Rhinolophus ferrumequinum: one gene and its partner. The protein of the gene in region 1 purifies or fractionates together with the protein of each later gene. This does not show direct contact. Links are inferred from orthologs where the notes say so. Each region holds a gene or a part of one and is shown on either strand. Other genes may lie near its edges.

Region 1 (7,210 bases):
GGGAGATGTGAACCACAAGGAATGATGAGGCGTCTCAGAAACAGAGTGTTAGAAAGGACATTTAGAATTTAATTTGGGGGAGGGTCAAGGAAGCAGCAGGGTTTTGATCTGGATTGGATACTGTCTATGATTTGGGTATCTTGATAAATCCTATCGAGAAGGCAGGAAAACTAGACTGAGACTAAAGCTGTAATTGGTAAAGAAGCAGCAATCTCTATATGAGCCAGGATAGGGAAATGTTTGGTCATTTTTGTGGTTTGGATAATGCTCATGTTTTATCTGGTTCAGGTATGATTATGGAGAGGTCTTGTTATTGTCTTGATCCATCACAGTCACAGAGTGGCCTTGTCTGATGTTGATGTTCTGTGACATTTTTATGTTCAACTGAACACCAAAGCCTACCTGTGAATGCCAGGCCAGCTCCGGGATATCAGGGGCTCCTTTTCTTTTTATGAGAAGATGGACTCAAATCCAGGTTTGTGTGACTGGAAACGTATCTTGTGTTACTACTCCCTGTCCCCAGGAACAGGGAAGAGGGCTGGCAGATGAGGAATTTCATCTATAAGTTTATTTCATCTACTGCCTTCACCCCCTACTTAGACCCAAGCCCAAATACAATCCCTGGGATCACTGTAGACACTTAATGTTTGTTGAATTAATGAAACAATGAAGATGGGTGTCAAGAACTCTAGAAAACAACTTCCTGGGTGCAAATTGCAGCTCCATCACCTTTTAATTAAATGATATGTGATTTGAAAACTTTTAATAAAATGATAAAATTGTGTAACCTTTTAAAAGTTTTCTTTTACCCATTTGTGAAATGGAGACAACCACCAAAACCATTCATAGGGCTGCTGCGAGGATTAAATGAAAATGAACCATTGTGTAGAGTGTGCTTAGTTAAGCTCAGTAAATGTTAACTATTATTATTTTCAAGATAAGTAATCCATTAGTGCTGTGATTGCATGTTTAATATTTTTCCCACTAGGCATGAAAGCAAAGAGCTTGTCTCTTATCACATAACCAGTACCTAGCACATAAATGAATATTTGATAAATAAATAAGTAAACAGGCTAGGACCCAGGCACTTTCCCTATTTAGAGGGTAAATATTAATTTTTATATCTTTTCAAATTTAAAGAAAAGTTGCAAAAATTATGTAAGGAACTCCCATATACCCTTTACCTAGACTCACCACTTGTTTACATTTTTCCTAATTTGCTTAATCATTCGTGTAATAAATAAATATATATATATTCCTAATTTGCTTAATCATTTCTATAATATATATATATATTTCTGAATCATTTGAAATTAAGTTGGAGACATTGTGCCCTTTTACCCCTAAGTACTCCAGTGAATATTTCCTAAGAACAAGAGGAATATTTCCTCTTAACCACAATACAATGATCAATTTTAGAAAATTTAACATTGATACAATATGCTAATCCACAATCCATATTCAAATTTCATCACTTGTCCCAATATTGTCCATTATACCTATTCTACCTTCCCTCCCCCCCAGTCCAAGATCCAACCATATTTTGTTATGTCTCTTTAATTGCATTTAAACAGGAAGAGTTCCTCAGTCTTCAAATGTCTTTCGTGATATTGACACTTATTTTGTAGTGTCCCTCGATTTCAGTTTATTTCATGCTTCCTCATGAGATTTGGATTATGCATTTTGAATATAAATGTCACAGAAGAGATGCCTCCTTCTCAATGCATCTTATTGAGGGGCACGTGATCTCTACTTGACCTGTAGCTGGTGACATTAACTTTGATTACTTTGAGTCACTTGTTCTGTGAGGTTATACCTTTGTAAAAATACTATTTTCCCTTTGTAATCAATAAGTGATTTATGGGAGACAATTTTACTGTGTAAACATCCTGTTCCTCTAGTTTTACCACTCATTATTGATTTTCTAACTCCATCATGTTTGTTAGTTGGCTTCTACTAAAAGGAAGACTTTTCTCTTCTCCCTCATTTATTTATCTACATTATTTATATTAGTAAAGACTCATGGGTTAGCATTTTATTCAGTTAGTTATACTCTGTTACTATCATTATGTATTTCGATGCTCAAAAATGCTCCAATTTGGCCAGTGGGATATCCTTTAAGTAAGCTCCTCTGTCCTTTCACATATTCCCATTATTCGGATGCCCATCATCCTTACATTCTGGTGCAACAAGATGTTCCAAGCTTGTCTGGCACTTTCCCTGTCCTGACCAAGGATCTTTAAAACGCTGCCAAACAGCTCCTAAGTTCCTCCCTTTCCTATCCGCAAGCGGAACCTTAGAGTCTCGTGCGTGGGCCGGAGAACAGCTCAGCGGACCAACCTTTTCCGGTTGCGGCCGGAAGTCTCGGAGAGGGGCGATTCTGTGTCAGGTGACTGGAGTTCGCGTAGGAGTGATCCGAGGTCCAGGCCGATCCACTGACTGGGCGGACAGACCGGCGGAGCAGCCGACTGACGGAGAAGCTGGGGCAGCCTCGGCGGCGGCGTTAGCTGAGCAGCGGCAGGTACCTGAGGGGCTGGTGGGGGGAGCAGCTAGGGGCATCCGAGGTTGAGGGACACGGGCGGGGGACCGGGTCCCGCCTTCACCGGGCCACGGGCTGCGACACCTGAGTCCAGGGGCGCAGAGACAACAAGCCTGGCTCCGCCTCAGGCCCTCCTCCCCAGAAGAGAGGTCGGGCTGGCATGTGGTCTTTCGTCCAGTGATTACAGTTGGGGGAAACTGAGGCCCCGAGAAAGGAAAAGGCTCCTTACGAGCTCTCCTTTCCAGGCAGGGACTCACTATAACTCTCTTTCTGTCCCCCGCTCGAGGCCATTTCTCTCCTGTGGATGTGTTTTTAATAAGTTTGCCCCGAGTGGAGAAGCCGAGGCCGGTAAGCGTGGTGAACAGAGTTGGGCTTTGGGCATAAGAGACCCGGGTTAGAGACTTCGCCGCCAACAGCCGATTGTGCGTTCTGGGCCAAATCCCTTTCTTCTGCTGGGCCTTAGTTTCCTCGTCTGTAAAACAGGGCAGTGCTTCTCAAAATACCGTTCTCACACCATCTGCTTTGGAATGCTATAGGGGTGCATGCTTTCCCATGGGGGACTCAAATAAGACCTGTGATTTAGAATCTGGGTGGGAACTTGGGAAACTGCGTTTGGAACGTATGGCTCGGGTGTCCTGTACATGCTGATGTTTGAAGCCCACTGATCTTAAGTGTTTTCCTGCTGTAACTACGAGATATCCATTCTTTGCTTTGAGGCAGCTGGAGCCGGTTCAGGATCTTTGAAAGAACTGGGTGTTTATCCCAGGAAAGAGAGCAATGGAAGGGAACTGTCTTTAAAAACTGAAAAAGTTGTTATGGTGAAGAGGGCTTCCACTTCATCTTTGGGGTTGAAAAGGGCAGAACTAGGACCAATAGATGGTTTCTACAGGAAGACAAGATTTTGATTTAATAGAACTTAATGCTGGTCAGAGGTGCCCAGCAATGGATGGGTTGCCTCCAAAGGTAGTGAGCTTCCTGCTATAGGAGGTATACAGGTATTAGATGGTGGTCCTTTCCCATTTGACAGCTTCTAATTCTGAGTAATTATTTTGAATCTTTCTGGAGCTGACTTCTTTTTTCTGCCCTTTTTTCTTGACACCTCCATTCCCTCAGCCTACATCTTGTAGAAGTAAGGCGGTGGGTCTGAATGTAATGTATCTTGTAATCTCTTCCTGATTGTCCTGTGAACCATCCTTTTCAAGGACTTTGGAATGGTCCATCTGATAAAGACGCCTTAAGATCATTGCTGAATGAATAACCAAGCAGAGTCCCCACACCATCTGTTTATAGCTTATTTTCTTAGAACAACTTGGAAATGCCTCTGAAGGAAGACTTTGTATTTGATCAGGAGAAGCCAGTGAACTCTTTGGATCACAGAATTGGATCACAGTCAGAAGGGTCCCTTGAGGTTGTTTAGGCCAGCTTTTCTTCCCTGGGACATAAGTCTCCCTTTAATCCTCTCTCCAGAAGTGTGTTGTATAGATATTGTGTCTACCAAGGGGATTTTTGCAATCTATGGTCTAACGTTCCATCCAGCGTTTAAAACCGGTCCTTTTATGGACTTGACATGTCAGTTCATCCTCATTTATGGGTTATCTGCAGGTAATGCTTCTATATATCTTATATCTTTAGTTTTCTAATCAAACATCAAAACTCCTATTTTGTGATTTATAAAACTCCAAGCAGATTGCTACTTCAAAACCTGTTAGGATGCTTACGTTGTCCTATGGAGCAAAGATTCCATATTATGACCCAATTCTGCTGACATGCTTCCTACCCCCCAAAAGGTTGGGTTTCAGCCAAGACTTTCTGTCAATGTTTATATTCCTGCCTTGTTTGTGTTTCCTACGATTTTAAAAAAATAAATTGCGAAATTCTTATTCAGGTATCATCCAGGTGCTAGGTAAAATGATTTTAATTTGATGGTGTTTTTAAAACTTCTCAATCTGAACATTTCTTTTTAAGAAAATACCTAAACAGGTATATACATAGTGCATTTTTCAGGCCGCTAATCTGAAGAGACCCCTCCAAAAAAAAGTGTTCTATGGTAATAATAAGTTTGTAAAAACTATAGATCATTATCCCTTTTTGGAACTTCTCAGTGTATAGTACCACATTAAGGTCCCTGAGATATCTGCAATAAAGAAATGTGCCTAACCTTGTTTAATCTAGTGTTGCCAAACTGAATTGATGTGAAGCACTTTTTTTTTTTTTTTAACTGAAGCACACATTGGCAAATTCTGACCTAGAGCAGGAGTCCACAAAATTTGGCCTGTGGTCCAAATCTGGCCTCACTTCCTGTTTTTGCATGGCCTGTGAGCTGGGACTGTTTTTTACAGTTTTTAATGGTGGGGAATACATCAAGAGAAGAATAATATTTTGTGATATATGGAAATTATAGGAAAATCCAATTCCTGTAATTCCATAAATAAGGTTTTATTGGAATACAAATTCCAGTGTCCGAAAGTAAGATCCTTTCTCGTTAATTTACATGTTGTCTTTGGCAGCAGAGTTGAGCCATTGCCCCAAAGATCATGTATAGTCCACATGTCTAAAGTTTTTACTATATGGTGCTTTACAGAAAAATTTGCCAGCCGCTGACCTGCATCACATATGTTTTTAAACTTGTTATTTTGAAATAATTTTAGACTTGCAAAACGAATATACAGACTTCCTATATACTCTTCACCCAACTTACCCTAATGTTAACATTTTACACAACCATATTAAAATTACCTAAACAAGAAATTTAACATTAATACTATACTAACTAGACTATATTCACATTTTGCCACTTGTCCCACTAATGTCCCTTTTCTGTTCCAGGATCCAGTCCAGTTTCCCATATTGCATTTTGTTGTCAAGTCTCCTTAGTCGCTTTCCAGCTGAGATTGTTCCTTGGTCTTTTTTATTTTTCATGACTGTAAACTTTTTTTTTTTTTAAAGATTTTATTGGGAAGGGGAATAGGACTTCATTGGGGAACAGTGTGTATTTCCAGGACAGTGTGTATTTCCAGGACTTTTCTCCAGTCAAGTTGTCCTTTCAATCTTAGTTGTGGAGGGCGCAGCTCAGCTTCGAGTTGTTGTCCTTTCAGTCTTAGTTGTGGAGGGCGCAGCTCAGCTCCAGGTCCATTTGCCGTTGCTAGTTGCAGGGGGCGCAGCCCACCATCCCTTGCGGGAGTCAAACCGGCAACCTTGTGGTTGAGAGCCAGTGCTCCAACCAACTGAGCCATCCGGGAGGCAGCTCAGCTCAAGGTGCCGTGTTCAATCTTAGTTGCAGGGGGTGCTGCCCACCATCCCTTGTAGGACTCGAGGAGTTGAACTGGCAGCCTTGTGGTTGAGAGCCCACTGGGGCATGTGGGAATCGAACCGGCAGCCTACGGAGTTAGGAGCATGGAGCTCTAACTGCCTGAGCCACCCGGCCGACCCCCATTACTGTAAACTTTTGAAGAGGACTGGGCAATTATTTTGTAGAATGTCTCAAATTTTTTTTAGATGGAATTTACATATCATGAAATTCACTATTTTAAAGCGTACAATTCAGTGGTTTTTAGTATGTTCACAAGGTTGTGCAACCATCACCACTATCTTAATTCCAGAACACTTTCATCACCTCAAAAAGAAACCCTGTGCACATCAGCAGCCACTTCCTATGCTCCCCTCTTCCCATCCACTAATCCAGAATCATACACTGTATGGCTTTTTGTGTCTGGCTTCTTTCATTAAACATGTTTTCAAGGTTCATCCATGTTTTAGCATACTCGTATAGCAGTACTTCATTCCTTTTTAGGGCTAAATAATATTCCATTAGTATGGATAGACCATTCGTTTATCCATTCATCATTTGATGGCTGTTTGGAGATTCTGAATAGTGCTGCTCTGATCCCATACAAAGTTTTTGTTTGAACATATTTTCAGTTCTCTTGGATGTATATACCTAGGAGTAGAATTGCTGGGTCATATGGCAACTCTATGTTTACCTTTTTGAGGACCTTCCAAACTGTTTTCGACAGCAGCTACACCAATTTACAGCAATATATAAGGGTTCCATTTTTTCCGCGTCCTATTCAACAGTTATTGTCCTTTTAAAAAATTATTATTACATCCACCCTAGTGGATGTGAAGCAGTATCTCGTAGTTTTTATTTGCATTTTCCTAATGACTGATGATGTTGAACATCTTTTCATAAACATATTGGCCATCTATATACCTTCTTTGGAGAAATGTCTATTCAAAACCTTTGCCCATTTTGTAATTGAATTATTTGTCATCATGTACAATTTTTCCATGTAGCTGTTTAAAGAGTTTGCAGATCCCCTGATCTGAATGGAGTTGGGTAGAACATGCTGAAGCAGAGTAAGTTGTCCCTTTGAAACTGCTGACCGTACAGAGCTTTGCTTAACCCCAACCACTGCTGACCGTGCAGAGCTGGGGTGGCCATGGTCAAGTGAAAAAGGTACTACAGCATCATTCAAGATGTGGTAAGACCAATATAGGATCCTGCTGTTTGGGAGCTACTCTGGTGCTTGGTCAGAGCAGGGAGAAGAGTCGGGTGGTTTGGAACATTTGGGACCTGCGATCGCCTTGGGCAGTGCTTGTGGTTGACAGAGCTACCAGTGAGTGCACCTATGCCTGCCTCGACCTCAGCATTTAGCTGTAACCAGACCATTT
Region 2 (7,210 bases), on another chromosome or scaffold:
TAGTATGAATCGACATACTAAGCTCCAGGAAGGAGCTTGGCTCTGAACAGATCTAAAAAGCCTCTAATTTCTAAGGCTCTGATGATGCCATTAATAACATCATTGTAGACTGTTTGAGCTTTTGGTGAGGTCACATAATTAAAACGCTTTCTTTCATGGAGGAATAAATGAAGTCTACAGCAGTTAAGTAATTTTTGCTAAGTCATGTAACTAATTGGTGCCAGAGCCAAACCTAAGTCTCCAGGTTTCCGGCCCCACGTTCACTACACCATACTGCTTCCTAAGAAATCAGCTCAGTTTAACAACTTTCACAAATAGAATGGTCAGGAATATAAGTGGGTTAACAACCCCTACTTCAAGAAGCTTGGAGACTCTCTGAAAAAGACACACAAAACTTAGAGAACAATACAAGACAACATTATTAAGAGAAATAAGACCACGGGACAAAATTTACAATACAGACTTTAAGAGCTATAGATTAGAAGGAGAGGGATTTGCGATGAGCCTTTAGAAGGCTGGCAATTCACAGACAAGAGAGAAGGAAGGAAGGGAGAAATGGGGAGAGAAGAGGTGACAGTATGAACCAAGGCAAGAGTGAATAAAATAAATATAAGAAAACAATACGGAAATCGGTCTGACTAAAGGAAGAACACATTTCATTTCAACAGACACAATTCTTGCCCTAAGCCATCTAAAAGGGAATTGGAAGGAAACCTGGAGAATTTAAGTATTCATAATGAAACTCTAACTTAGTGGGAAGCCTCGACTTAAATTACAAGATAAATACATTAAAATTTGCCTGAGTCTCGAAAAATCAGCAGATAGTAGACAAATTTCTGAATTCAAAGATTTATAATCACACTGAGTGTGCAAGAGTAGTCACAATAAAATCCTGTTTTGTCATCTTATGTCAAGATATATTTAATAAGTATCTCCCATGGCCAAGACACTGTTCTCAATGATCAGACGCTATTTCCAATATTCTGGAATGCTATCAAAATAGAACATTCACTAAGGTTCCACATAATATTGTGCTGAATGTCCCAGACAAAAATGTGAGGCAGAAAAGCTGTGTATTAAAATTCAGATCCACCATGTTAACAGTAGCCCAAGAGCTTGCCTCTATGGAAACCAAACACTGTTCTACACCAAGTGATCACTGATTTGTATTTCTAAGTGTGTTCTAAAGTCCTGATTTTATTTTCACTGCATCAACAGAAAACACCACTATATAGACGGGAGAAATCAGTTCTAGTCAGTTTTTCCAAGCTGCATAGGTATTACTGCTTATATACTTCAAAAAGAGTGAGGTGGCTCAAAATCATAACCTGTGCTGTGACAACTGTACTTTGAACTTTAATTTCTGCATTTAAGTAAATACCACCATCTGCTTAAGCAATAAGGAAATGTATCTCCACCCACAAATGTTGTAACTGTTCCTGTCACACCTGTCTATCCAGTGTGGAGGCTTTCCTAAGAATCACTCACCTGCACAGATCTGAACGTAGTAATGAAAGGCAACATGATATGATAGCCTGGTCCACTGGGGTTAGTTAGTAAAGCTCCTCCCCTGCAAAAAGATGTTTCAATTTGACAAGATTATAGAGAAATGCTCTTTCCAAATCTAAAATGCTGTAATAAATATTCACTCTTACTCATGCTGCTGACCTATTAAAGCTTCACTAATATGAATTACTCACAATGAACAACTGCTGGTCCCTAAAATATCTGCCACAGCTAACAAGGTGAAAGGATCACATTAAGCTGCCGATGTTACAGCTTGTTTCATAAGCTCGACCAACCATACCTCTGGGTCTCCAGCACTGCACTCAGGTAGGAAGGATTCTCCTTGGTCTTTAACCATCTGAGAAGTACTTGTGAAAAAAAATTCTAAGGCTCTTAGTTGCTATACTTTAATTGCACATAACACGAGTTCAAAACATAATACATTTAATCACTATGTTGAAAAAAAAATGACACAAACTTTCAAGGGAGGAGAGAACTTCGAAGGCTCAAGAATCTTTTAATCTACCTACAAGGCAATTAAAATACTGGGGATATAAAGTCTATATAATAAACAACAAAAAATTAGCATAGAAAGATAAAGGGTAAGGGAATACAACTATAAATAGATAGGATGTAAGCGTGGACTTATTTACCAAATGCTGGAATGTGATAACTATGAAAGCACATCTTGGAAATTATAAAAGGGAGGCATTTTGGAGGCAGATATAAAAAAAGTCCTATTTTACATTGTGAAGAATAACTTCATAGAACTTAAGTTTGTATCTTGAAAACAGACACAGGTTTGCAAAAAATCCGTTAACTAATAACTTGAAAAGGATGACCTGTTTTAGGTCCATCCCTAAATTCTTTGAGAGCCATGCATTTTCCTTGGTTTTACTGCCAAGACAAGACGGAAATATGGACTAATCTGTCATTTTTTATGCTAGACCTCCATCTGCTAAGACATATCACTACACTTGTATTTGAAACTAGCGTTTCACAGAGAAGACTGTTTCTAGGACTCAGAATGGATCGAAAAGTAGAAAATACCACTTTGGGAGGATGATGGAAACCAGAAGTGGAAGCCCTTTCAAATACAGCATTAGCACAATTTCTGCAGACTGTCCTCTGTCTATATCAAAAAGAATTGGTGGTACTATGTTGAAGGAAAAGCTATTCGAGCTCAACTAGAGAGCAACACACTCCACACCATTTCTTTCCTCAACCTGAAAAGAAAGGGTAAGGTGGCAGGCGGGTGGTCCATCAATGCTGTGTTTCTCTCTCCAGGTCCAGGGAAGACATACGAGTAAAAACAATTGTCATGGTCATCATTATTTGGCCTTATAAGCCAAAACCAGACACTACGGGCTTTTAAAAGAAAAAAAAAAATCTAAAGAACCATCACAAACGCGACCCAAGCCAAGTTCTAAATTGAATCTAAAGCTGCAAACTGAAAGCCTGCACAGTTGTACGGAATACGACAATTTATCCATTTCATCAGTTACAGGTGGAGTGACCTCTGCCTGCCTGCCTGTCTTTTTTCTACAAATGATTGCACTTACTGTCTACCAGGAATAACTGGAGGGACTCTTAACCTTGGCACCAAATGGACATAGTACTAAAGCTGTCCACCACCCGGAGGGGGCTCTGCAAAAGCCTTCCTTTCCCCCCCATACTCTCCCTAGGGCTGGGACGAAAATCACTTTCTAGGACTGGAGAAGGCTCTCCGGACGCTACAGAGGAAACAACTTCTTAGATGCTCCTCTCCCGGGAGTCCCCTTTCTACCTGCCGGAGAAGCTGAGCGGGCTGCACACGCTGCTCACCTGTAGTACACAGCCAGGTGTCCTTCCTCGATCTTGTGGATGGAGGCGTAGAGGAGGACAACCACCAGACCCACCACTGCAGCCACCAGAACCCGGGCTTGAGTCATATTCATGCTTGTTCCTCCTGAATGAAGGAGGAAAGGACCCCAAGGCCCGTGAGCGACAAGCCTACCCCCTCGTTTCCACCCTCTACATCCGGACAACTGGCTCCCTCCCGCAGGCCGAGCCGGGAGTCCTGTGCCTCTTTTCCCTCATTCTTTCCTCCTCGCAGAACCCGTTCTCTCCTCGCCAACCTCTCCGCCGGAGGCGGCCCGCAGGCCGCCCCTGCTCAGTAATCGTCGTGACACCCCCAGCTCCCAGTGGCCGCTCCCCCGCCCCCCCGCAGAATGCACTAACTGAGAAGGGGGCCAGGGGCAGAGTTCGAAGGCAATCCGACCCCTCCGCGGCGCCTCACCGATCAGTGACGCATCGCCCCCGCCCGCACGTGCAGCCGCCTCCCCGGCCACGCCAACCGCCGCCAACAGCCGGCCCCGCCCACTCGCCCAGCCCTGCGGCTGCGCAGGCACGCACGCCGACGCAGTGCTCGCCCTGCCACCAGAGACGGGGAGCGGACGGGACAAAATTCTCCCGGCTGCCCTCCGCGCAATTTCCCTTGAAGGTACGGAGGCTCTGTTTTGTGCACTGCTGGTTTCCTGCTCCAGAAGAGAAGTCGGGAATCTGGAATAAGGGATGCAGAGAAAGCAGAGGGCCTCTTGTTCTTTTGCAGAGACCCGCCCCTACACTCAGTGTGGTAGCTGTTCCGTTTTATGACCTTTTGTGGTTTATACCGAACTCTATGTGGCAAGCATGTGCTTCAGGGACAGATCCTGCACTGAATTCAGGAGCAACCAGACTTACTGCCAAGTAAGGTGGAAGTTCAGAAGAGGAAGATACTCAATCTAACCGCATATTCACTCATCAAGTATTTTTCTGAGCACTTATTATGCCAGAGTGATGATCCAAAGAGGGCTTTATGAAGGCCATCCAAGCAATAGGAACAGCGTCCTCCAGGAAAACACTACAACAGTGAGCATTTGAGCTTCCTTGAAGCCAGTATGATGGAAAGTAGGATGGTAGGCTAGGCTAGGCTCAGATTTTGAAAGACTCAAATGCACTTTTTTCTTCAGGGAGCGGGTACTGGATGGCTACAGAATTTTTCACTGCATATTCTTCTTTTCTTTTACAATATCCATTATGTGCATGTTACCCAAAACAAAAAGGACAAAGTTAAAGAGTAGAGATGGGAGTGAGATGGATAAATACAAGGGAAATAAGTGCAGCATATTAGAGTAGGTTGGGCAAGAATGGTTCCTGTAAGCCTTGGAAGGCTAGCAGTGGGAGCACAACTGGACAAGTAGGCTAAGATTTAAGGACTCTGTAACGTCTTGGGCAGGGAAGTATGGGAAAGCAGTGCTTTAGGGCCAGTGAGTCTGCAAAATGGCTTAGAGGAGAGACACAGACTGGAGGCAGGGAAGCAAAGTGGTTAGACAATTGCGGGCCCAAAGTTACAATGGCAGTAACTGGAAACAGGAAGGGGTAAATAGAATCAATTCTTCATGAAAGCAAGCCCTCCCAGACCACTTTACCCTCTCCCCTCAATAAGTGCATTTACCTGTATCATTCATTTGACTCTTACTACCTAGGAATGTCCAGGACCTTGTTGGTTCCAGATAGGTGGTATCTGCAGAGCTTAGCTTTTTTAACTAACGAAAAGCAAAAAGAATGAAAAATAACTTGTTCCAGTCTCTGTTTTCTCTTTGCAGAACTGTTTCACGCACTCTCTTGATTTCTAGTCTGAGAGGGGCAAGGAACCCCTCCCTGTGCCAGTAACAGTATCAGATGACTAAAAAGTTAGAAGACAACCCAAGGTTTCAAACTTAGATGACTGGGAAAATGACACTACTAGAAAAAATAGGGATGGTGTGTCTAAATTTATAGGGCAAGATATGAGCATGGTTTTTAGACATGAATAGTGGTGACAGGACATCTCAGGTGAAAGCACTATATTAAAGCAGCTACCCAATATGGTCTTTACTATACATCCTGTATAATTCCATACAGGAAAATACAGTAAGAGCCTATTACGTTATCCTCTGCTCCAGTTCCAATTCATGGAAACTTGAAATTTTCCCAAATCATATTCAACTACAGTTGACCCTTGAACAACACACGTTTGAACTGTGTGGATCCACTTACATGCACTTTTGTTTTCAATAAATACAGTTAACCCTTCTTATTTGTGGGTTTCGTGTCTGCAAATTCCATGGATCAAAAATGGTATTTTCGCATTCCCAACCTCGGTTGGATGAATCCACAGATGCGAGGCGCCAACTGTAAAGTCACAAGTTCCATGTGGATTTTCTGCTGCGTGAGACTTGATGCCCCTAACCCCACTCATTGTTCAAGGGTCACCTGTATTCATCTGATTTTAATGAATAGAGTCAAAAAGTAATTTAAAAATCATTTAATACACAAAGTGAAAAACTATAATACAAAAGCATTTCACATTTTTTTAAAAAAACAGTATCTTCTAAATTACTTAACAGATGATAGATCCACAATCCTTAATCTGAAATTGTTAGGGCCAAATGTTTCAGAATTAGAAATTTTCAGATTTTAGAAACATAATTCAGTGCATATGCCATATTACATAAACCTCCAGCAGGGTCTGTGGCAGCACCCTTCCCCCCGCCGAATAATCAAACATGTTAATATTTCCACAGCAAAATAAATGAATATTCACACTAAATGGGATAAGTATGTTCAGTGTTACTTCATGTTAATTTGCGAGTTTTGTCATCACGCTTCTGAAAAACCTTGTTTTCAAAGCTTTCTGGAATCACAGATAAGGGCATGCAGACCTTTATAAATTTGTACAAGACATGAAAGATTCCTGAAACAAATGACCCATTTTTACAAATGAAAAAAAATAAGCTTTCAAATACATTATAAATTAACAGGCATCTCTTTGATATTACTAAATGTACATCTTAAATACATATACACATAGAACACTTAAGATTTATCAGTCAATTGGTATTGAAGGCACAGATACACAATCCCTCCTATAGGAAAGGAATACTGTCAAATGTGCAGTAAAATGGAAAATGGGATTGACCCAACTCCTTATGATGCCAGGAAGAGCACTGCTGAGTGCAACACAAGGAGGTAGGGGTATTCTTCAAGAAGTGCAATTTGACTTGTGAGCAGTCTCTTCCACAGAAACACAGGTAGACAACTTTTACTTAGAACATATATTGAGGTTTCTTCTCTGTATATACAGAGGGTGCCAAAAAAAGTGTATGTACATTTTAGGAAAGGAAAAAACTATTAAAATTGTAATACTCAACATACACCGTTAACAAAAAATGAATACAAGTCACCTTTGACTTCTGCAATTACAAGAGGTGCTCAAAGTAGTTACCATCAGTGTCCAGACACTTTTGATTATGGCGAACTACTGATTGAGCAATGGTGACCAAAGTGTCCACTTGTATACATTTTTTGGCACCCCCGGTATTACTTTTGGCCTAATGCCCAAAAGTTAAGTGTTAAAAGATATTTTTAAACAGTTATGTTTTACGAAGTTTAAAGACAAATGGATTGCAATGATAGCTAAGTAGCTGTAGTATTTAAACAAATTCTGTCAGTTCAGGGGTTATGATTACCAAAAGTCAAAATATTGCTCTTGTAAAATCGTGTAGTTTTTTTATCACAGCCATTTCTTCCATTGAATGGTATCTGAAGAAGGGTCTCATGGGAGAAAAACAAATTTCCAACACGTGCAACAACTTCCAAAGGTTTGGGACAGTGAATAAGTGGCAAGTCATTCTGTTAACCA

Evidence for each region. The genes of interacting proteins can lie anywhere in the genome.
Region 2: the proteins of RNF185 (region 1) and ERLIN1 purify together in Homo sapiens (affinity purification with mass spectrometry; 3 studies listed by BioGRID and IntAct, with this or other methods). This does not show direct contact. The link is inferred for Rhinolophus ferrumequinum from reciprocal best matches to the Homo sapiens genes RNF185 and ERLIN1.

The regions. Positions count from the first base shown.
Region 1 is NC_046308.1:20,179,871-20,187,080, forward strand, and holds the start of RNF185 (E3 ubiquitin-protein ligase RNF185), read left to right. Parts: upstream 1-2,361; 5' UTR 2,362-2,521; intron 2,522-7,210. UniProt on the Homo sapiens protein: E3 ubiquitin-protein ligase that regulates selective mitochondrial autophagy by mediating 'Lys-63'-linked polyubiquitination of BNIP1.
Region 2 is NC_046299.1:24,344,860-24,352,069, reverse strand, and holds the start of ERLIN1 (erlin-1), read right to left. Parts: upstream 4,546-7,210; 5' UTR 3,727-4,545; intron 3,455-3,726; 5' UTR 3,444-3,454; coding exon 3,331-3,443; intron 1,571-3,330; coding exon 1,489-1,570; intron 1-1,488. Other genes in the region: CHUK (inhibitor of nuclear factor kappa-B kinase subunit alpha), read right to left, coding at 7,196-7,210. UniProt on the Homo sapiens protein: Component of the ERLIN1/ERLIN2 complex which mediates the endoplasmic reticulum-associated degradation (ERAD) of inositol 1,4,5-trisphosphate receptors (IP3Rs).